Mus musculus: one gene and its partners. The protein of the gene in region 2 interacts with the protein of the main gene of each other region in a pairwise test. Links are inferred from orthologs where the notes say so. Each region holds a gene or a part of one and is shown on either strand. Other genes may lie near its edges.

The links.
Region 1: the proteins of Hap1 (region 2) and Taf1d interact in a two-hybrid assay, tested with the Homo sapiens proteins (2 studies listed by BioGRID and IntAct). The link is inferred for Mus musculus from reciprocal best matches to the Homo sapiens genes HAP1 and TAF1D.
Region 3: the proteins of Hap1 (region 2) and 1110038F14Rik interact in a two-hybrid assay, tested with the Homo sapiens proteins (2 studies listed by BioGRID and IntAct). The link is inferred for Mus musculus from reciprocal best matches to the Homo sapiens genes HAP1 and C8orf33.
Region 4: the proteins of Hap1 (region 2) and Hmox2 interact in a two-hybrid assay, tested with the Homo sapiens proteins (2 studies listed by BioGRID and IntAct). The link is inferred for Mus musculus from reciprocal best matches to the Homo sapiens genes HAP1 and HMOX2.

The regions. Positions count from the first base shown.
Region 1 is NC_000075.6:15,308,338-15,313,464, forward strand, and holds the end of Taf1d (TATA box-binding protein-associated factor RNA polymerase I subunit D), read left to right. Parts: intron 1-187; coding exon 188-578; intron 579-1,521; coding exon 1,522-1,697; intron 1,698-2,020; coding exon 2,021-2,072; intron 2,073-3,189; coding exon 3,190-3,358; coding exon of another isoform or gene 3,359-3,375; exon of another isoform or gene 3,376-3,571; coding exon 3,572-3,684; 3' UTR 3,685-3,767; downstream 3,768-5,127. UniProt on the Homo sapiens protein: Component of the transcription factor SL1/TIF-IB complex, which is involved in the assembly of the PIC (preinitiation complex) during RNA polymerase I-dependent transcription.
Region 2 is NC_000077.6:100,352,847-100,358,706, forward strand, and holds the start of Hap1 (huntingtin-associated protein 1), read right to left. Parts: upstream 3,296-5,860; 5' UTR 3,232-3,295; coding exon 2,844-3,231; intron 1,903-2,843; coding exon 1,826-1,902; intron 1,517-1,825; coding exon 1,400-1,516; intron 1,290-1,399; coding exon 1,111-1,289; intron 942-1,110; coding exon 842-941; intron 765-841; coding exon 698-764; intron 1-697. UniProt on the Homo sapiens protein: Originally identified as neuronal protein that specifically associates with HTT/huntingtin and the binding is enhanced by an expanded polyglutamine repeat within HTT possibly affecting HAP1 interaction properties.
Region 3 is NC_000081.6:76,946,282-76,952,176, reverse strand, and holds 1110038F14Rik (UPF0488 protein C8orf33 homolog), read right to left. Parts: upstream 3,917-5,895; 5' UTR 3,639-3,916; coding exon 3,633-3,638; exon of another isoform or gene 3,549-3,632; coding exon 3,258-3,548; intron 3,110-3,257; coding exon 3,025-3,109; exon of another isoform or gene 2,994-3,024; intron 2,634-2,993; coding exon 2,487-2,633; intron 1,929-2,486; coding exon 1,789-1,928; 3' UTR 1,198-1,788; downstream 1-1,197.
Region 4 is NC_000082.6:4,724,459-4,730,136, reverse strand, and holds the start of Hmox2 (heme oxygenase 2), read right to left. Parts: upstream 3,777-5,678; 5' UTR 3,666-3,776; intron 1-3,665.

The DNA of each region.
Region 1 (5,127 bases), on a different chromosome or scaffold from region 2:
CTTTGAAGAAATGCACTTTGAAATTTTAACATGGTTTTTAGGTTTGTCATGCTTTTGTCTGGTGTTCTAAGGGCAGTAAAGGCTGTTGGAGCTGTGAACTGAAGGAATGCATGATTGGGAGCATGGCCTTGAAACTCGGGGAGGATTATAGCTAATGATAACTGATGCAGTTTCATTTTTGTTTTAGTGATGACTCCTCTGATGGCAGCTTATTTAAAACTCAGTGTGCTCCTTCACCTATACAAAAGCAAAGACACCCTACTGTGAAACGTGTTACTTTACCTGCAAGTGTTGAAACAGATTCATCAAGTGACTCTTCTATAGAACCAAGGCCTCTGACTTTAAAGGCTATTTTTGAAAGATTTAAAAAAAAGAAACGGAAAAAGAGGAAAAAGAGAAAATATGAGCCAAAATTAAGACCAAGAGGAAGACCAAGAGGAAAACCATCGGGAACGAGGATCACTAGAAGGTCGCAAATAGATGCAAAACAAATTAAAGACAAAGGAGCTGTGTTTCCATTCTTAGAATCTGAGAGTGGAAGAAAACCTTTACCTTGGAAGAAAATTTTAACATATGAGGTGAGTTTTTTTTTTAAATGTAGGTGAATACATTAGGTAAGATTGAATGGTTTGTTGGCCATTCTTAATTGTTTGAGGGACACCTGAAACAGATTGTTACTTTTAACAATAGTGACATCCATATAAAGTGCTCCAATTTTCATCTCTTGCATCACTAGAGAAATGTGCACAAGCATATTTATCAGTGTGCACACAGATTTATGGAGTTGTACTCCAGCTGGGTCCCTTGAGGTCCCTTATATTATCTCTAGACTATTCTGAAGCACACCACACCCAGCTTGCTTTCAGCAGTAGTCAATCCTTTGAGTACAGGCGAGAGAGAAGGTATGGTACCATTTAAGGCCCACTTTTAGAAGTCCCAGGAAGGGCTGGAGAATAGGACCATGAAGGAAGCTGCTGGTCCTGGGCATTGTTAGCCTAGGACCTCTTGCTCAGAATGGTAACACCCACCCACAATCTAGGCAATCATACAAAGATCCTCTGTTGAGGATCCCTTCTAGGGTAATTCAGAGCTATGCCAAATTGACAGTTAAAAGTTAACTAGTCAAGGGCTAGAGAGAAAAACCCAAGTACCCAGATACTACTTAGGTTTCTCAAATGTTTGAGTATTAACTGTTGAATGGTTGCAAGTGGTCGGAAAATGTAATCAGTGATTAATGTCTACTTTGTATTTATTTGTGTATGCACGTGCAGACATGGCAGAGCTTGCCAGTTTGGGTTGTCTTCCTATTCACCTTGTTCTTATTGTCTTTACTACCCAAGTCTGGAATTACAGTAGAACCATCATGCACATAACATTTACGTGGTTTCTGTGCTCTCACATCTGGTCCTTTTGATGAACGGCAAGCCATTGTTTATTTAGCCTCTTGGTACAGTTTCAAACTTGATTATAATTAGTATATGATGTTTTAATATTTAAGGAATTGTGTGTTCTAACTTGCAGCAAGCTGTTGCAAGAGGATTTTTTCACCACATTGAAAAACTCAAGTATGAACACCACCTTAAGGAATGCTTGAAGCAAATGCATGCTGGGGAAGATTTAGAAAAGGAAGACCTTGACAGTCGGAGGCACAAATACATGGATGATGATGGTTCACTTTCTCCTATTGAAGAGCCATTGTAAGTTGGATCTTGAAGGGCAATTTATGGGGTTTGTCATATTTAAGCTAATTTAAAGACAGTCTCACTACTGTACAGCTTTGGCTAGGGTTGAACTCATTTACCTGCCTCTCAAGTGCTGGGGTGGGTGTGCCATCTATAAAATGAAGATCCTATAAAATTCTTCAGTAGTAATCGTAACTTCTAGTCCATTTAAGATTGTTTAATCTGAGGTAATGTGCACAGGACATCAGCTTTGGGAGGATTATTTTTCTTTGACTATAGGTTTCAATGGTATCAGAATACTAGGTAAGATTTGTGACACATTCCATTTAATGTTACAGAACTGAAGATGAAGCAACAAATCCTCAGGCTGAATGTGATATCAAGTTGGTTGTAAGTGGCTGATTTTTATTGTTTCATTTACAGAATGTACAAGTTGTATACTATTGAATTTTTGTTTAAGAGTGGAACTACTATTTAGGCTATTTGATAACCAAGGATTTTTTTTTTTTTTTGTGACTCTTCCTCTTAGTCCCAAGTGTTGGGGTCTGAAGCCTTGTCCACATTTATATTTATGCCAAGGTATCATACTGCTGAGTTATAACGCTAGCTTTGAATATTTGTAGGATATTGAGGCCAGAGGTTAGACTGGCCTCTTGAGACCTCAAACCAGTGGATTAACCTACCAGCATGGTCTTTGCTCCTGCTATTGGCTTACAAAATGTGTATCTCTGCCTGGCTCCAGTCTTAAGATTTTTTTTTTTAAACTCAGTATTATGTTTTGTTTGCATGTAAGTATACCAGGTGTATGCCTGGTGCCTGGAACTGGTAGGTGCAAGGAATTGAATCTTAGTCTTAATTAAGAGAAGAAGCCAGTGGGCTGGTGAGATGGCTCAGTGGGTAAGAGCACCCGACTGCTCTTCCGTAGGTCCAGAGTTCAAATCCCAGCAACCACATGGTGGCTCACAACCATCCGTAACAAGATCTGACTCCCTCTTCTGGTGTGTCTGAAGACAGCTACAGTGTACTTACATATAATAATAAATAAATCTTTAAAAAAAACAAATAAAAAACATTCAATTTAATATGTAAATGTTAATTGTTAAAACTTTAAAAAAAAAAGAGAAGAAGCCAATGTTGTGGCTTATTTTGTGCTGTTTATTCTATACTGTTTTCTACTTAACTGTGTGAGTGCTTTACCAGCATGTATACCTGATTAATGGAAGAGGGCACCAGGTCACATTTACCATATGGTTGCTGAAATTTAATGCAGTACCCCTGAAAGAACAGCCATTGGTGTTTAACTGCTGAGGCATCTTTCTAGCCCTGAAAAGCCAGTATTTTTAACCACTGATCTAGCTTCTGATAAAATAATAAAGAACTTTTAGCTAATCTGGTGTGCTGTCAAATGAGAAAATAGTGCTGGTATAGTAAGGAATATATTTGCACTCACCCATCAGTGAGTTTAGTTACTAGTTTTTTTGTTTTTTTTTTTTTCTATTAAATGCAGGAAGACAGTTGCTTCATAATAAGTTCAGAATTCTCAAGGAAGAGAAACTTGGAACAAGAGAAGATTAAGAAAGAATCTACATTTTCTAAAAAAGCCAAAGATGCCACACACAGAGAGAAAGGGCACAGAAGAACCTTGAAAGGAAATGAACATGTGACTATTGAAGAAGGTAAAGAACATAGATAACAGTGTATGCCAAGTAGATCAAGAACTAATCTGGGGAAGAAGATAAACTTGCTGGTGGAACGCTAATAAATACTTAGTAAAGCTTTTTTCGTTGCTTGATTTCAGAGTAAGAAATACTATAAGGATTATTTTACTACTATAGTAAACATGATTGTGATTCTGGAAGGAAAATGCTAACAATCCTATACATGTCTAGATTCAAGACCCCAGCCTCGCCCTTTTGCTCATCTGCAGAGCAAGGTCATGAAGAAAGGAGAGTTAGAGTATCTGGAGGTTCACCACCTCTGTGGTCTGTCGCAGCCACTATGACTATGAGGAGGAAGAGATGATTTGAAAATTGGATTAAACTCCTGGACTCTTATACTAGAAAAAATAAACTAATGATAAAACCCAGCCTCTTAAGTGCTTAGCCCAAATTATTTCATATTTGTGTGTTTTGCCTACATGCATATGTGTGCAGTACCCAAGATCAGAAGGTATCTGTGCCTGGAGATCTAAAGTTACAAGATGGTAATTAGCCAGCCATTGTTGGTTATGAATATGATTTCCTTTCCTATTCATAGATGGGCAGTGGTGGCGCATGCCTTTGATCCCAGCACTTGGGTGTCAGAGGCAGGTGGATTTCTGAGTTCAAGGACAGCCAGAACTATTCAGAGAAATAAAAAAAAAGTTATTATCTGAGCTTTCTCTTCGAACCCACACCCAGGTTCTGTCTGCAAGTCTTAAGTCAAACAAGTGCTTATCTTCCCCAAGGGGGGTTTGAATATTACCACTGTTCCTACTGTCCTATTGTGGTCACAATTGTAAAACTGGCTGTGTCAGATATGGACAGCTTTGATAGCACTTGTGTTTTTGTCAGCTGTTGGACAATGGCCAGTTGAACAGGTGCAAAAATATAAATCCTCTTGCAACCCAGAACTCATTGCTCAGTATGAGTTTTGATATATACAAGAAGGAATATAAGCACAAAGGTGTTATTGATGAACTTGGTTCTAGCAATATCATATATAGTTTACCTTATAAAGGTAATGGAGTAGATGGATATTCCTTTTTTTTTAAAGGCTTGTCTTGATTATGAAGTCAGAATTGGAAGATACCCATGAATGGATGTTTGTTTCAGTGTTGTAAGTAGCATGTAAATTTACATCTTCGGAGTTATGTTAACTTTCAGTGATGCTAATTCTATGAAAGTTTTAGAGTGCTCCAACCCCTCAGTAAATCCTAGAACATTAGAATCAATAATTTGAACTGAAATAGGTATGTTTAGCAGAAGAACACAAAAATAAGGCTTTAAGGTCTTATACTCAATTTACAATATTATAAACTTCTCAAGCATGGTACATCACAAATACAGTGTTTGAAAAGTGAGTTAACTAAGAATCAGACTGCCACTTTATTTAGTTTTATCTATCTGCCTGATGTAATTGTCTCTGAGCCTTACTGCCCATCTGCTAAAGAAGGCCTATCCTTGGAAGCTTACAATCTGATGTAGGTTTAGAATGTTTTCAGCCTTGGAGACTTTGCTGAAAAAGCTCACCCTTGATATTGTCTGGTTTACCTCAGGTGTTCTGGCTCATTCCTTCAAGCTGACTGATTCATTCTGACTTCTGCCTCAAACTACCTTGCAATCTGTTCTGATCTGGGCTCTTCACTCTTGGCTCATTCTGTATTCACCTGTGTCTAGCTTGATCTCTCTTAACCTGTCTTTGTAAAGTTCTCCTAGTAAAAATTGCCTCTTGCCCTCTTACGTTG
Region 2 (5,860 bases):
TGAGGTGTCCTGGGCTAGAGACACTGAGACTTGCCAGCTGTGGCTTGCAGGGGAAAGAAGGACAGAGATGAGATTTGGAAAGAGCATAAGCCAGATGCTATATATCCCTTTGAATCTGCATCTCAGTGGGTAGGCTTGAGGTCCTCAGGGACTGACGAAGGCTAACTTGGTGCTAGGCACAGCCTAGAATCAGTGTGTGACTGTGAACTGTCTCAGCCCTAAGTGCCCAGGCTCTGGCAGCTCCTGGCTTCCTCCCTGCCATCCTGTCCACCCTGCCAGCTTGGACTGTTCCAAATAATAGACAGACCCTAATGGCCTCTATGTGTTCTGCAGTGCTCTACCCTTCCTGGGCGCGTGCTCTCCCCGCCTGTCCCCCCTCTCTCCAGAGTCCCACATTAGGTGGTCTTCAACACCTGACCCTCCTGTCTCTGACTCCTGAGTGCTGAGGTTCCAGGTGAGCTTCCACCACGCTCAACAATGGTTCTCAAAACCCTGAGAAGATGAGGAGCAGGCCGTGGCTATCAGTCCTCATTCTAAAGATGAAGGTTCAGGGAAACCAAGGAATCTGTCTGGGCTACCACAGCGGCCAAGTCCCAGAGCCAGGACCTCAGCTCTGCTCTCCAGGCTCCAAACCCTTAGCTCATCCTCTCATCTCTTGGGACAGTGCCCTCCTCTGAATTAACGGTGTCACACGTACAGAACTGCTCCACACATTCCAGAATGAGCATCTGCTCTTCGTCCTCCAGGTTGTCAAGGTGGGAGGCCTGGAGGAAGGGAAAAAGGAAGGGGTGAGGCTGTCACCATCCCCTGCCCAAGGGCGCGCCCTCCTCACTGTCCTCACCTCCTCTCGCAGGTGGTCGTTCTCTTCCTCCAGAAGCCTGAGCTTCTGCTGCAGGGTTTCCAGCTGTGGGCAGCGGTGCGCTGTCTCAGCCTTAGGGTGTCTGGCAGGGGGGGGAGGGCGATGATGAGAGTCAGACTGTAAGGGCTGGAGGATCCCAGTCCCCAAGGCTTCCCCAGCAATGACAGTGTCAGCAGGCCCATGCCCATTTATAAACGAGCAACTGAGGCTCAGAGAACGGATGATCCCGGGCACAAAGGCCGAACACGTACGGCTTGGGGGCACCATAGGGGTGGTCGTGCTGCTGGTCTTGATCCCTCTGTCCTTCTCGTTCCTCCTCTTCGCCCTCTTCCTCGTCTTCCTCGTCTTCCTCATCATCATCGTCATCAGAGTCTGAGTAGAGCTGAAGAAGGTCATCTCGCAGGTTCACCTGCTTCCGGAGATGTAAAATCTAGGGCAGGGGAGAGAAGCCACGGAAAGATGAGCACAAGGGGGCAGAACGGGTGCTAGTCTGGGGAGGGGACACACGGAACTCTCCCTGGTCCTTAGGAACCCAGATACCTCCTCCCTGGCTGAGCCCAGCATGGTTTCCAGCTTATTATTCTCCTCCATCAAGACACTGTTCTGTTTCACCAGGGACTGGCCGATCCGGGCGGCTGTGTTCAGGTCCCGTTCTTTCTGCAAAAGAAGAGCCAACCATTCCAATTCCTTCGAAGTTTCCGGGACCTCCCAAACAGGAGGGAGAAACCAGGGCTAGGTCACAAGAAGACTATCTCTCCAGCACCCAGTCATCCAAGTACCAAAGACTATTAACCATCTCCTGGGTCTGATAAGATCAGTCCAGATTGGTCCTCTGTAATCTACTTGCCTTCCAGGAAAGGGGCCTTCAAGTTGGCTCCCAGGCAAGAAGAAAACAGACAAAAGCCCGAAGTCCTGTAGGGCAGAGTTAAAATGAGGGCTGGCCTGAGTGAGGAAGGCGGTACCCACCTCTTCCAGCAAATACAACATCACTTTGACATCATCTTCGGTGATCTTCTTCGTGGGTGGTGGATTAGGACACAACGCTGCAGGAGGAAAGGCCCAAGTGGGTCAGGGAAAGGAGCCGAGGCTGCCCATAGACCACTACACCCCTCACAACAAAGATTGTGAGACTGCACTCCATCTGGCCCTAACACCCTCTCCACAGCTCCGGATCTCCCCACTCCTGCTTTCTCAGGAGGGGCCTGGATGCTGTAAAGGCAAAACCATCCTCTGGGCTCAGGAACTGGACTCTCAAGACCCCTGGGTCTCTGGGCCCCTCGAGATAAGAAGTCAGGGAAAATACTGGGCTCATCATGCCCACCCCCAATCGGCATCTTAGCCATCACTGGAGTCTCCTCGATCATAAAAACAAATGCAGTCACCCATCCTAAACCTGTTGCTTGTCACAGGAGGGCCAAGTAGACTTCTTCAGCACCCAGAAGCGGGCACCTGAGCCTAAAATTGCCCCCGCCCAGAAGAGGAGGGACAGAAGCCCAGTGCCCCGCCCACTCCTCCCTCTTCATTCCAGCTTCGGAAAAGTACGACCCAGACCCCCTGAGGACAAGTAGTGGTCAAAGGCTCCCCTACACACACACCTCTACCCACCCACGCAGGCTGGTTCCTGCGGGCTAGCGCAGGCTCAAAGCGCACCCGCAGCCCCCGCCCCTCTGCTGGCACTGCGGTAGACGGGGAGGGGGCACTGAGAGTGCGCAGATCTGCCACAGCAACAGGCGCGAAGAGGCGGGCGGAGAGCGCGAGAGAGCTCTGGACCTGACGCACCCACAATAATCGGGAAACCGGAAAAGGGGGGGGGGGAGATGGGGAAAGAGAAACCAAACCGGCACCGCAGACTGTGGTCTCGCGGGGGTGGTGGAAAGGTGGAACTAAGAGCCACAAGGGGGCGGGGCGCCTGAGTCGGTGCACCCCCTCCTACCTGGAGATGCCCAAATAGTGCCCAATGCGGGATCCCCGAGACTCAGTTTACCTTCCTGCAGCTCTCGAATAAACGCCGCACGCTCAGGGCCGGACACGCCGGGCCTCCGGCCGATGTACGCGGCTGGTGTCTTCCAGATTCCCTCGGCCTTTCCAGTGCCCAGGCCAGTGGCCCGGGGACCGTAAGGCCCCTGGAATACGTAGCGGGTCCATGGTGCGTCCGAATCACCAATGATCATGGACCGACAAAAGCTTCCTGTCTTGGTTCGGGATCCTGATTTTTGTCCGGACCCGGTTCCCTGCGCTGGAGCAGGTTTGGGCTCCGCCGAGGGCTCCGGAGCGGGACCAACTGCAGGCTGGGTCGTGGGGGTGCCTGCTGCTGGGTCCCCCGACCCTGTCCCGTCTCCCGCACCGCTCTGCACCTGCTCTTTCGGGCGCATCTTGACTCCGCAGTCCGCTGCCGCAGCCGGGGCTTTATAACCTGTGCTCGGAGCGGGCTCCACTGGGCTGTACCACGCGTGGCGCTAGGGGTGACCGTTGATCAGTTAGTGGTGCCGAGGACTCAGGATCCTGCAAGAAAGCAGCCAGTGGTGACGAGATAGGAAGTAAATAAAAGAAGAAGAAAGAAAGAGATGAACTAGTGCCTAGCTTATTCCGTGGGGTCGAGTCCACGGTGATGGATTTCTCTTCCCTTCCATCTTCTGAGAATGGTTCTGTCCAAAGCCGCCGCTTCCCTGGACTTGAGTAGAGGGACCCGTAGCTTCTGCCTAGAAACAACCCCCCCTTCAGCCCCCCGCGCGCGCTCCCGCCACCCCAGCTTCCAGGGGCTTTCTGTGTTGCCCTACCCAACATTGTGTACAGACCGAGGTGACCTGAGAATCGAGGCAGTACGCCTGTGCCTTCCCAGGTAGACTAAGCGAGAAATCCAAACTCCGGTATGGCTTTCAACGTGTTGCGTGTCATCCACAGGTCCCTCTCACTCTCGCGCTCGCCCCTGGACGTCTTCCATCTTAGTGCGTTCACTCGTTCTTTATTTCCAACCCTAATTCTCAAGCCCTACAGTCCAAGCAAGCACCTGTTCTGTTCTTCAAACATTCCAAAAAGAACATCTTCGGAGGGGATCCTGCTTAAATGTTTCGCTGTGACGACTCTTCAAGATCCCCGTGTACACACACACACACACACACACACACACACACACACACACACCAAAACATCCGTTATCCCAGGGTCTGAACTGATCGATGTCGGTCTCCACGACTTTACCCGTGCTCTTCAGCTCATGGACGGACGTATGCTCCCCAGAAAAATGGCTACTTTGGAAGCTGGCTCTCAGTCCTGAATGAACTGGTTTAAGGGGTGGGAGCTAGGGAGGGCAGTAGCCATTTCTGTGCTTTTAGACTGGGAGACAGGCTAAAGGGAGATGGATGACTCATGGACTCAAGTCTCAAAATCGTTCTTGATGTTCTCCATTCTCCACCATCCTCCAGTGGACAAGGCTATTGACTTTACGTTTTTTAAAATATTTATTTATTTATTTTTTATATCTGGTGTATGAAGGTGTCCATGTCAACATCAGTTGTTGTCCGTCCCTTGCCACCTTATTTTTTGAGACAAGGTTCCTCACTGAATCTGGAGTTCAGCACTTTGACTAGACTGTCTGGCCAGCGATTCCCCAAGACATCCACTTAACTCCACCCTACCCCTCAGCCCCGGGGTTTACAGACAGGTGCCACCATACCAGACCTTCATGTGGATGCTAGGGATCCAAACACAAGCCTTTATGTTTACACGCAGACCGAGACAGTTTACACATGCGCACACACATGTATGTATGTATGTATGTATGTATACACACACACAGACATACAGTTTTATTTGTGCATATGAGTGTTTTGCTTGCTTGTATATCTGGGCACCACTACCATGCCTGTTTTCCACAGAGGCCAGAAGAGGGCATCGGATCCCCTGGACCTGGAATTACAGATGGCTGTGAACTGGGAGCAGAACCCTGAAAGAGCAGCCTATGTTCTCACCCACTGAGCCATCTCTCCAATCCCCAACACGCCCCAATTTTGTTTTGCTTTTGAAAGAGGGTCTCACTCTGTAGTCCAGGCTAGCTTAAAATTCACTATGTTGCCTAGGCTGGCCTCAATTCTCTTGCTTCAGACTTTCTTGAGCTGGAATTACAAGTCACACCCAGCTTGAATTTGCCTTTTAAATACCCCTCAAACATAGCTAGTTCCAGGCAGCCAAGGTTACAGAGCAAGACCAGACCTCTAAAAGAAAACCTTAAGTTCTTTTTTTTCTTTTTCTTTTTCTTTCTCTTTTTCTTTTTCTTTTTTCTTTTTTTCTTTTTTTAGTTTTTTGAGACAGGGTTTCTCTGTATAGCCCTGGCTGTCCTGGAACTCATTTTGTAGACCAGGCTGGCCTCAAGCTCAGAAATCTGCCTGCCTCTGCCTTCCAAGTGCTGGGATCAAAGGCGTGCACCACCACCGCCCAGCATTAAGTGCTTTTCAAATGTTCGCATTCTGTACCAATGGTCTATTTTGCAAGCAGAGTGTTCCTCCCTTCTTCTCAGATTGTTGTGCTAGCCAGCCTCTCCCTATACCCCAACACACGTCCCACACACCTGTCTTACACCATCCTGGGTCCAGGTACATTCTAGCTTCTGGCCAGAGGTGTACATGTACTGTACATCCACATTGCTGTACAGGTCCAAACATGCACACACACACACACACACACACACACACACACACACACACACACACACACACCCATACATGCACACACACAAATACACACATTAGAATAGGTACTCAATATGTGTGTTGGATGAATACACACCAGGCATGCATGCGATGCACAGCCCTTCATCCACACATTTATCTAAGCTAAAGAACTCTGGCACCACTTCTTCCCAGCATCCTTGTCTGAGCTATAGACAGGGCTGATTCTCAAGGTCTTTGCCTAGCAAAGCATCTCCTAACGCATTCAAGGTCAGGTTTCCACACAGTCCAGACCAATAAAGACAACCCAGAAAGAATCAATGTGCCCTTCCATCAG
Region 3 (5,895 bases), on a different chromosome or scaffold from region 2:
GGCTGGAGAGATGGCTCAGCGGTTAAGGTCATGACCGCTCTGCCGAAGGTCCTGAGTTCAATTGAAGGAAAGGGAAAGGGAAAGGGAAAGGGAAAGGGAAAGGAACAAACAAACAGAGCAAGCAATAAACAATGACATAAGTTTCTGGCCTAAGCAACTAGATAAGACAGTAAATATCACTGACTAAAAAGCACACGGAGACGGGGGACCCAATTAGGTATTTCTGTAACAACGCTGAGTTTGAGCTGCCCACAAAATACTCACCCAGAAAGGGCAAACGCAGCTGGACTCCAGGTTGTACTTAGTCTAGGATATGAGTTTGGGCAACGCCAGCAGACCACAACGGTGTGAACACTGCTGGTTTACCTGAAGATCTGAACTCAGTGGAGCAGTGGGTACAGTACAGATGTCAACCCTGGCAGGGCTGGCCAAATGGCTGAGTAAAGGCAACTGCCACCAAGTCTAGAGACTGCGCTTCCACACACGTGCAGGACATTTGATCACACTGTGAGCCCTGAGACTGTATTACTTACTGCAGAAACCTGTCTTTAGTTGTGGTGTGGCTCGGCTATAGCTCATGCCTTTAATCCCAAATCATGAAGGTGGTTTGTAGAAGGAAGCACAATATTGGAAAGTGACTTCTGAGTGGCAAAGTGACAAATCAGAAAGATTTGACATAATAGGATATGGAAGTGAGAGGAAAGGAAAGTTACTTAAGGGGAAGGGGGAGGAGCAGGGGCAGGGGAGAGAGGGGGTGGGGAGGCAGTTTTACCAGGTTGCAGAAAGAGAACAAGCTAGACACAGGTGAAGACAGAGTGAGCTAGAGAATGAGAGGAGCCAGAGGATTAGAACGGATTGCCAGAGTTAGTCTGAGGCCAAGCAGAGCTAAAAATAAGAGGCTGAGAGAGAGAAGCCAGATTGAGTCAGTCAGCTAGCAGAGGCGTTTGAGTCAGAACAGCTGAGTTCACAGAGCTCAGAAAGTGCTAAAAAGGGTGAGCTTATTCAGCAGTAGGTCTCAGACACTGAAAACATTCTAGGCCTAGATAAGACCAAGCGAGAAGCTTCCAGGTCTAGGCCTAGGTTAGCAGACGAAGGCAGTGAGCCTCTGGAGACAGTTACACCAGGCAAATAAAAGATGCTTTTATACACATAGCATGCTCATACTCACACACATAAATACCACTCACACACATAAAGGTTGTGTTGTGTTTGTTTTGTTTTGATGCAGTCTGCTAAGACTCAGCTCAGGCTAAGACAGTGAGTAGCTTCTTAGCTCCTAAAAACAAAACGTGGCTTGATGGAGACCACACTGGCTCCAGAAGACGACAACCTGCTGAGGGAAACAGCAACAACAGCAGCAAAGGACTAAGTCCTGGATCAGAGCTGGACCAAGCAGTCTTGCCTCCTCTAACACATTCGGAACTCTCTCTCTCACACCATCCTATTTCCTTAGAAAAGATTTATTAAGGCGATATAACAATATACAAAGCACTAGAAAAATGGCCTGAGCATCTTTTCAAAAGTGAGCCCACTGTGTCCACAACTTCCCCACAGTTCCTTATCATCAGCAGCTACTCTGCACCTCTCTTCTGACATGAAGAACATTTCCTTCAAAGGTTTCCACATCCACATAGCAGCCTCACATAGGCCAGCCGCTTCAGGTCCATGCTGCAATGAAGGACAAACCAACCCCACTTCTGCTGAGAGAATTCCTGGGAAGGCCCTGCAATCAGGACACATCCCCACCCCACCCTGGAGGGGGATGAGCGGTCCAGCATGTAGGAGACCCTAAAAGAAATTGAACCGAAACTCTTCGCTGGTCAAGTCCGGAGTGGTTTTGGCTCTTTCTGCAGGACGAGGCCTGCAGACCCTTCCGCTCTTCTTTCTGGTGGCCTCACTGACGAGCTGTACCTGGGCCGAATGGGTGGCTGTAGGAAGGGGGAGCAGAGAGTCAGAATAGCTAACTTTCATCCATGCAGTTACAATTACCCACACAACTTTCCTAACTAAAAAAAAAAAAAAAAAAACTGAAAAATTATCTTAAAGTAAATAATGTCATTCCCATATGAGACTCAAGAGATGTAGTAACTTATCAAAAATGTTATATGATCTAAGTAACAAAATTTAGATCATTTTCACAAAATGATATGTTGTATGATCTAAGTAACAGATCCAGGACTTATGTCCAAGTTATTTATTATTTAGTCCCAGGAACTAAAGTCCAACTGGTACCTGGCTTTATGGCCAGTGAAGTGAGCCCAGGCTAAGACAGAGGAGCTGTTTTTTTCATCCCCAAAACAGAACGAGGTGAGGACCTCGGCCCTCCTCCCCCCAGGACCTCTGTCCCCTAAGAGAGAATACTTTCTCCCCACTTACATCCCCCCCGCCCCCGAGCCCATCTCTTCCCACACCAACCCTGCTGAGCTGAGCCTCTCCCTACCCCCTTGACGTTAATGTACTGAACCAATCGCTTTCTAGTTCCTCACCAGCCTTTAGAGCCCGTAGGGCCTCCCGCCACTCTGCATCCATCTGAGCCCTGTAGTCCCCAAACAAGGAGCGCATCAGCTGTCTCTTCCGGGGCAAGGGGGTTTTTTCACTGCGCAGCGTTCGGATTGCCCCAACAGCCTGCTCTTCTGCAGATGAAAGAAAGAGAAAGAGAAAGAGAAAGAGAAAGAGAAAGAGAAAGAGAAAGAGAAAGAGAAAGAGAAAGAGAGAAAGAAGAAAGAAGAAAGAAGAAAGAAAAAGAAAAAGAAAAAGAGCTAGTGACTTCAAACACACTCATATCATCCTACTACAAACAATTCCCATCCAGCTGGGGTGACGCACGCCTTTAATCCCAGCACTGGGGAGGCAGAGGCAGGCGGATCTCTGAATTCCAGGCCAGCCTGGTCTACACAACTAAGTTTCAGTACACCTAAACAAAGCAAACCAACCAAAAGCAACAACCCCACCCCTTGGCAATACCATCAGACCACAGAACTGTCACCGTTTACATTTCCCTAACTGTAGAGAAGGGTCCCTCACTCTGCTTCGGGGTAGGTCTCTGCGTCTTGAGACCCAGCTCCAGCTGTTCCACACACCAGGCCAGCTCCCGCGCCAGCTGTTCCGCCTGGGACAGAAAGGAGGACATGGTTGTGATGGGTAACAGGGTCCCGCAGACCCCACTCCCATACCTTCAGCGCCTTAATTCCGCACAGCTCGCCCACAGAGGCAGGCGGATTAGCGCCCAGAAAGCTCGCAGGGAGTACCATCCTTGCCTGGGCCTCAGCGCTAGGAGGAGCTTCGTCCGGGGCAGGTTTCTCCGAGGGCTTTTCGCTTCCATTTGTCCCAGAGACCCTGTTGGGGGTTTTCTTTTTCTTTTGCTTCATCGCTACTGTGTTGCCTACGGGATGGGTTCCGGCGGCGGAGTCGCATGCAGGTTGCACTGAACTGCGGAGAGGAGGTTCCGAGGCACCGGAAGCTGAGCGAGAGGGCCGGGGTCTGCGCGGAGCGCGATGAGTTTTCCGACTTGAGGCTGCTGGTGCCTCCCGAGCAGGACGCCCTGGCTCCTGAAAAATCGTGAGACAGGACGAAATTCACAGGGTCTCCCCACCTAGGGCCTCGCCACAAACACGCCTTCTCCCACAGCTCACCGCCATTAGTCGGAGCGGCCGCCGGAAGCTGGTAAATCCTAACTACCACAGCGAACTCACTCCTCTGGAAACACGTCTACGACACAAGGTTCCGCAGAAAGCGCAGCGGAGCCAGAGCAAGCGCTCAGCGCCGGACAGAAAGCACTTGGGTGGATGGAGCGCCTCAGGCTGTGCTTGTAATTTTAGGAGACAGAGTGCACGGGGATGAACTTAAAGGCCTCGGAGAACCCAGCAGAGTGTGCCGCCAAGAAACAAGACAATTGATTCCTGGAGAGAATGGAACCGGTGGGGTCGGGGGGAACGCCCAGAGATGGGGCAAGGTGGATTATGCGGGGCGGGGCGGGGCGGGGCGGGGCGGGGCGGGGCGCAGGCGTTGACAGATGGCTCAGCTTGTCCCCGGTATACTTCAGAATCCTGAAGAACTAGGCTCTAATGGCAATGGAGTGAACTTTCCAACGAGAGTCGGGGCAAGCATGCACTTCCTTCTTCCACGACCATTAGGCTGCCACCCGAAGACCTGGCCCAGATTTAAGGTGCATCTTCCCACCTCAAACGAAAAATCAAGAAAATTTCCTTACAGGAACTCCTTACCCCTTGAGGTTTAGGATAATTACAGGTGTGGGTTGTCAAAATGACAACCAAGAATAGCAATAGCTATCATAGCGGTCTAGCCCTAGGACTACAGATACCAGTCATGGAGCTACAGGATTTGGTATTTTTCCTACAGGCTTCTAATCCTGCTTTGTTTCAGTATTTCTTCGCTATGCCTCTATTCCACACTTTTGGAATGGCGACATATATACTGTGTCCTAATAATCACAGGACATGGTAGTACTAAGAGACGCCCTAAGGGATCTCCTACACTCCAGACATAATCTTGCTTACCACCATTGTGAAGAGGTAATCCAATTTCCCCATGGTAATCTGGATCTATCACCCCTCCTAACACTGTTATTCCTTTTTTAGCCTGTTGGTTTAAGGGCATTAGAAGCCCAAAATGACCAGGGGGAAGTCTGAGCTTCCAGTTCAATGGAATGTTTGTTGTAGCTCCTGGTAGGAGCACTCCCTTCTCTGGAGCCAAAACTTCTAGGCCAGCAGAACCTAGAGTTATGGGGACAGGAAGCAAAAATTTTCCTAGAGGGTCACTAGGAGTGATAGTAAGTGCTCTGCTCAACTCCTTCATGCCTTCAAAACCAGTACCACCTGGGTGACCCTTACACATTACCAAGTCCAGCCACAGCACAATGTACAACTTTGGCTATATCTGGAACACAGCCACTGTGCTCTCAGAAAACACTTCCCAGAAGATGTCACCTCAATGATGCTGGTCTCTTCTTAATCACCGCTAATTTCTTAGCTCCAGCTAACCAGCATCAATAGTCCCAGTAATGCAAAGTTTTTGCTTTAGTAGTTCTGGTATCTTGTTAATCACAGCTGATTCTTCAGCCCCAGCTAACCAGAACTACAGAATCTTCACAATCAAAACAGCAATGGCCCTGAAAAGAGTCTTTAATTTTCCCTCTGAAATTTCACAAACCAGACCTCCATCTTCTGCAGTGTTCTCAACGTTGTCTTCCAAGCTCCTACACAACATCCGACAGAGCTCTTAACAACGGATAACTTTAAAAGTCCCACAGTCTTTACATATTCTTAAAATTTCAATTTCTTTAAAATAGCCATCTCTTTTAAAATCCAAAGTCTTTTTACAATTAAAAGTCTCTTAACTGTGGGCTCCACTAAAACAGTTTCTTCCTTCGAGAGGGAAAATATCAGGGCACAGCCACAATCAAAAGCAAAAGTCAATCTCCAACCGTCCAATGTCTGGGATCCAACTTACAATCTTCTGGGCTCCTCCAAGGGCTTGGGTCACTTCTCCAGCCATGCCCTTTGTAGCACACGCGTCATCCTCTAGGCTCCAGATGCCTGTACTCCACTGCTGCTGCTGCTCTTGGTGGTCATCTCATGGTACTGGCATCTCCAAAACAGCAACAGAAAAGTTACTAACACAGGGACACTTTCACAAGAGTAAGTCCATGTCAAAATATGCAAAATCACACACCTGAAATACCTATAACAAGCTGCATGCCAGTTAGACCCCTGTTGTATTAAGGGGTGTCTCTGTATTTCCAGTTATTAACTCTGTACTGGCAGAGAGCTAAGTGCTGGCAGGATTTTGGAATTGTCATTTCTATGGCACATCCCCAGGTTTCCTATTTTGTAAATGTCTTCCAAACCTTCCCAAAAGATGAAGGTCAAGCTTGGA
Region 4 (5,678 bases), on a different chromosome or scaffold from region 2:
GTCAGGTAAGACTATCTTTAAAAAGAACAACAGCGGGGGCTGGTGAGATGGCTCAACGGGTAAAAGCACCGACTGCTCTTCCAAAGGTCAGGAGTTCAAATCCCAGCAACCATACGGTGGCTCACAACCACCTGTAACAAGATCTGATGTCCTCTTCTGGTGTGTCTGAAGACAGCCACAGTGTACTTACATATAATAAATAAATAAATCTTAAAAAAAAAAAAGCAGCTGGAGAGATGGGTCCATGGGTAAAAACACTTGCTTTTGAAGAAGACCCAGGTTCAGGATCAGTAAGCCACATGGTAGCTTACATCCATTCATAATTCTAGATCCAAGGGACCTTCAGGTACTTGGTACACATATAGTACACAACTTAACATGCTGGCAAAACACTCATAAGTAAAAAATAATCTAAAAAAAAATTAAGAATAAAAAAGCAGGGCAGTTTTTAACTGGGTATAATGGGAAACACTGTAATACCAGCACTCAAAGAGCTAAAGTAGAAGGATCTCCAGTTCAAGTGTACCCTAGGTTACAAAGTGAAAGCCTTATCTCAAAAGCAAAACAGGGCCAGTGAGAGTAGAGTGGAGAAAGGCCACCAAACATGACCACCTGAGTTTGATCCCTGGGACTCAAATGGTTGTAAAGAAAGAACCAACACAGAGCTCTCCAACCTCAACAACCCCCATCTCAGTTTTTAAAATTTAAACAGCCAACTAAAAAAGTCTCTTTCTACCCGGGCGTGGTGGCACAGGCCTTTAATCCCAGCACTCGGGAGGCAGAGGCAGGCGGACAGCCAGGGCTATACAGAGAAACCCTGTCTCAAAAAACCGAAAAAAAAAAAAAGTTCCTTGGGCAGCAAGATGGATCCTCTGGTAATAGTGCAAGCTTAACCATGTGAGTTTGACCCCTAGATCTCACTGTGGAAGGAGAACCAACTTCCACAAGCTGTGCTCCGGCCTCCCTGATGAGCACACATATAATGTTGTTTCAAGACAAAGTTTCTCTGTGCAGCCTTGGCTATCCTGGAACTCTTTCTATAGACTAGGCTGGTTTTGAACTTTGAACTCAGAGATCTGCCTGCTTCTGCCCCCCAAGCGATGAAATTAAAGGCATATGCCACCACTGTCTGGCTGCTCCTGAATTTTCAAGTAGATTACCTTGCACCCCAACTCCAGCTCAGATGCTACAAAAAAGTCAGAAAACCAATACCTGGCTACAAATTTTAGCAAGCAAAAAAATCTTTCTCTATTGCCAAGAACTGATATTAGGGGGCTGGAGAAATGGCTCAGCAGTTAAGAGCACTGACTGTTCTTCTAAAGGTTTAATTCCCAGCATCCACGTGGCAGCTCATAACTGTCTATAACTCCAGTTCCAGGGGATCAGACATAGACACAAACGTGGGAAAAACACCAATGGACATAAGTAGTCAAGGATGTCCTTGAACAACTCCAAATGCTGGAATTACAGCAGATCACTATGTCTTATACCAGCTCCGAAATTCCCATTGGTTGCTTCCCAAGCATCCAAAAAAGGAATACATTTAATTTTTTACTTAACTATGGCCAGTAAGATTCAAAGACCATTTGAGGTTTTATTTTGTTTTGTTTCTCCAAGGAGTGAAAGGCTAAGTTATGAATTTTACTCTGAATTATGCAATTCCAGTTTCTAAAAGATCTGCCTTCTGGAAGGGTGATATTCTAGTTTTTGGTGCAATTCTGATGCAAAGTACAGCTGTCCTGTACAGTCTGCTATTAAAAGAAAAATTTAAAAGTCAAGGTAGGCCCAACTATCCAAGTCTGCCAAGTTTCAACACATCTGACTAAGTTAAAGACAATTAACATTTGACCTCTGTAGCTCAGTGGCTTTAGCAATTGTAGAGCACTCATATTCCTATATCTAGTGACTCAACGTCTCAACTGACTGCCACAAGCAAAGAAAGAAAGGAACTCAAGTCAAACCAGGGGCCTTGCAGGATTTCCTCTTCAGGTCCCCAGTGAGATCAGGCCATTCAGTAAGCATGCAACTTTCCAAGGCTCACAGATCCTCACACCCTAATCAGTGTTTTGGCTGAGGGACTTTATCAGCAAATGTTTACCAATTTTTATCAAGTGAATTTATAAATATCCTACTGAACTGGGAACTCCTAGCAAACAGATTATGTCTTGTGATGTTTCTGGGAAAAAAAGAAAAAACTGAATACTTTTTACTCTTCAAAGAAACTAAAAACATTGACAAAACAGCATGATGTACCCACCTTAATCCCAGCACAGAGGAGGCAGAGGCAGTGGGATCTCTGTGAGTTGAGGCCTGTCTATAGAGAAAGTTTAAAGACAGGACTAAATAATTTTGAGAGAGCCTGACTCAAAGGGGGGAAAAAAAGATTTAGGCTGGGCACTATAGTGCAAGCTCATCATAATCCTAACAGTTAGGAGCCTGAGGATCTCAAATTCAGTTAGTGCACACTACATGGCAAGATTTCCTTCTCAAAACACAAAACACTGGGTAGGGTTGTGGGCTCAGTAGTAAAATACATGCTCATCTTGTTCAAACTGCACCGCCAAAAAAAACTTTCTTAATAATTATGTATTAAATGACATTTATAATAACTATTATAAACTGAAGCACTATACCAGAAATAGGAACGCACAAAACCTTCTACATGACTAGACTGTTTAAGGCCAGTATGACCACTTAAACAAAACCATTTCTAATCTCTAATCCACTTCTGAAAAAATCACAGGATGTCTATGCATAACTAAGATCTTCAGTGCTGTTATCTCGCCTGTGGAATGTTCGTGGATTTACTTCACGAGTCTCTTAATATTCTCACTTTATAGGTAGTAAAACACTCAAGGATTTAGAAAGGACTGGAGAGCAAGCGCTCTCCCTCAACTGGACAGTATATGATATTTCTGTCTTTCGGGAACACTCCCTTCTCTAGTTGAGTTTGCGGTGCCCACAATTGAACACAGGCCACAACTGGTCCTTCAGAACCAATTTAAACGGCATGACACAAGACAGTCCTTGTGCAAGCAGTGTGCAAGGCGGTCCAGGCAGTTCTTACAGAGCAATTAAGTCACCTGGAGCTCTGTGCTTTGGTGGTGACAGGTGACCTCCTGGGCCAGACCAACCGGCTACATCTACGACTGAGTCCTCCCAGTCTTGCACTCAGAACCACAGGTCACTCATCAAGTCCCCACAGGGATTCTAAGGGATCTTGCCACCGAGGGGAGCCACTGAAGGCTGGCCAACAAGGCCGCCACGCCCCGGGCTCCTCCGGGACCTCAGGTAGGCTCATGTGCTGCGCTGCTGCACTAACTTCGACCCCGGAGTCACCTCAAGAGCATTCGTGACGCTGGGAGGGGCTATGCCCCACGGGAACACCAGAGGACTCTTGGGGATGGAGCTCAAAGCCGTCTAGAGCGCGACGTCCGCGGTTTCGGGCTCATTTGACGCTCAAGGCCCGCTCGGTGGCCCCTCTCCGACCCCCAGTCTCCCGCTCGCTCGCTCGCCCGCCTCAGCCCGCTTCCGGCCACCCCCCGCCCGACGTCCCCTCAGGCTGAGGACGAGTCGCGGGGGGACAGCGGAGCAGAGCTTCGAAGAAGGCCGCCGCCATGCAAGGACCCGGGAGGGGAGGACGGGGCACAGAGCGGACCACTCACCGTCAGTGGCTCCGCAGGTCAGTCAGTCTCCGCGTCTGCGACTCTCTCTGTACCTTCGCAGCCGAGAGGGCGAGCGCCAGGACGGTAGGACGTGCGCACGCAGCGAGGGGCGGAGTCACCAGGCCACGCCCCCAGGCGCACGGCAGCTAGCGGGAGGCTCTTGGGCGAGCCGACACTGCCTTCTGAGAAAGCTTCGGGAGTGGGGAGTAGTAATGTTAACCGGAGAGGAAGGAAGCGTGTCAGCCAAAGCCAACTGCTTGTTGATCGAGAGTGGGGGCTCAAGCCTGGAATCCCAGCACTCGGTGGGGGACAGGGGTGGGGTTGAGGCTGGAGAATTCAAGAGCAACCTGGAGAATTCAAGAGCAACCTGGGCTACAGTGTGAGCATTTGTCAGTGCTCAAACAAAAACACAAAAGGGTTGGGAATGTAACTTGTTGGGGAAGAATTAATAGATTCTTTTTGGGGGGGCGGGGTGTTTCGAGACAGGGTTTCTCTGTATAGCCCTGGCTGTCCTGGAACTCACTCTGTAGACCAGGCTGGCCTCGAACTTAGAAATTCGCCTGCCTCTGCCTCCCAAGTGCTGGGGTTATTAAATGCATGCACCACCACTCACTGCCCAGCACTTAATTACTTTTTTAACTATTAAAGTTTTGGTTTGGTTTTGTGCTGGAGATGGAATTCTAGATTTTGAGTAAGCTCTCTTACTGAGTTATGCTGAGGGACATTTCTGTGCACTCTGTATTCTGTCTGATTCCTGTACCCAGAGGTCCAGCTCCAGTCTCGACTTTAGTATGACTCAGTATTTTATAAAATATTATTCTCTATCACCTCCTGATTGGTTAAATAAAGAGCTTAATAGCCTATGGCTGGGCAGGAGAGGATATGGCAGGACTTCTGAGGCCAGAGACAGAGAGAGCATCTCAGGTGGGAGAGAAGGGAGACAGGAATCCGAACAGGAATGAAGGAGGAGGAGCCAGAGCAAGCCTGAGAAGGCAGGAAAGGTCCACATGGCTGGGAAGTAGGCCAGCATACTTGGTTAGAATAGCTTAGAGTCTGCCTGGCTCTGCGCCTCACCTTTATAATAAATATAAAGGTCTCCGTGTCATTAAGCAAGGAGGACATAGAAAAGTTCCTTACTTTTGCAGAGTTATGTCTCCCCAACCCAACAAATGTTCTCTTTCTACCTCTCTATTATTCAGGTGCACGATGCACCCACAAGCTAGGAAGATTTCCACACTAGAAGCTTTAACCAAATTTGCAGAATCTTTTCCTACTCAACACTATTCACAAAAAAAACAACAAGTTCTGGAAGCAGCCTAGATAATCTAATTGATGACCAAAGTATGAAGGCAGTTTCTGCATGAGCAGGACCAGGGTGTTGGATTTTATTGGGACAGAGTTACAAGAAAGTAGTTTATGTAAGCTCTCCTCAGAGCCTTCTTTTCTGTGTTGTTGTTGTTGTTGTTGTTGTTGTTGTTGAAAGAGGACACACTACTAGGGATTGAATCCAGGATCTCCAGCATGCTAGACAAGAACTCTCCACTGTGCTATATTATCAGAGCTTTTCATGGTGAACATTTCCAAAAACCAGAGTACCACCTCTTTTCTTACCTAATTTATTCATTGCTAGATCTGTCCTGGCACCAATGGGTGTCCTAATATCATAACGATTTAAGGTCCTTCAGTCCCTATGGCTTCCTTTTGTTTTGTTTTTCTAGACAGGATCTCAATATGTAGCTCTGGCTGTCCTGAAACTCTGCAGACCAGGCTGGCCTCAAACTCAGAAGTCTGCCTGCCTCTGCCAAGTGCTGGGATTAAAGGCATGCGCCACCACTGCCAGCTCAGTAGGGCTTTTTAACAAAGTAGAGGCAGTCAGGTGTTCTCCTGGGGGTAGGTGTGATCATTAGGGCACTTGATGGGTGCCAGTTGGAAGCAAGATAGATTAAAGAGACCCATCTCTTATTGAGGCACTATACAGGTGTTGGACTCTGGTAAAGTCAATGGCTGTTAAAA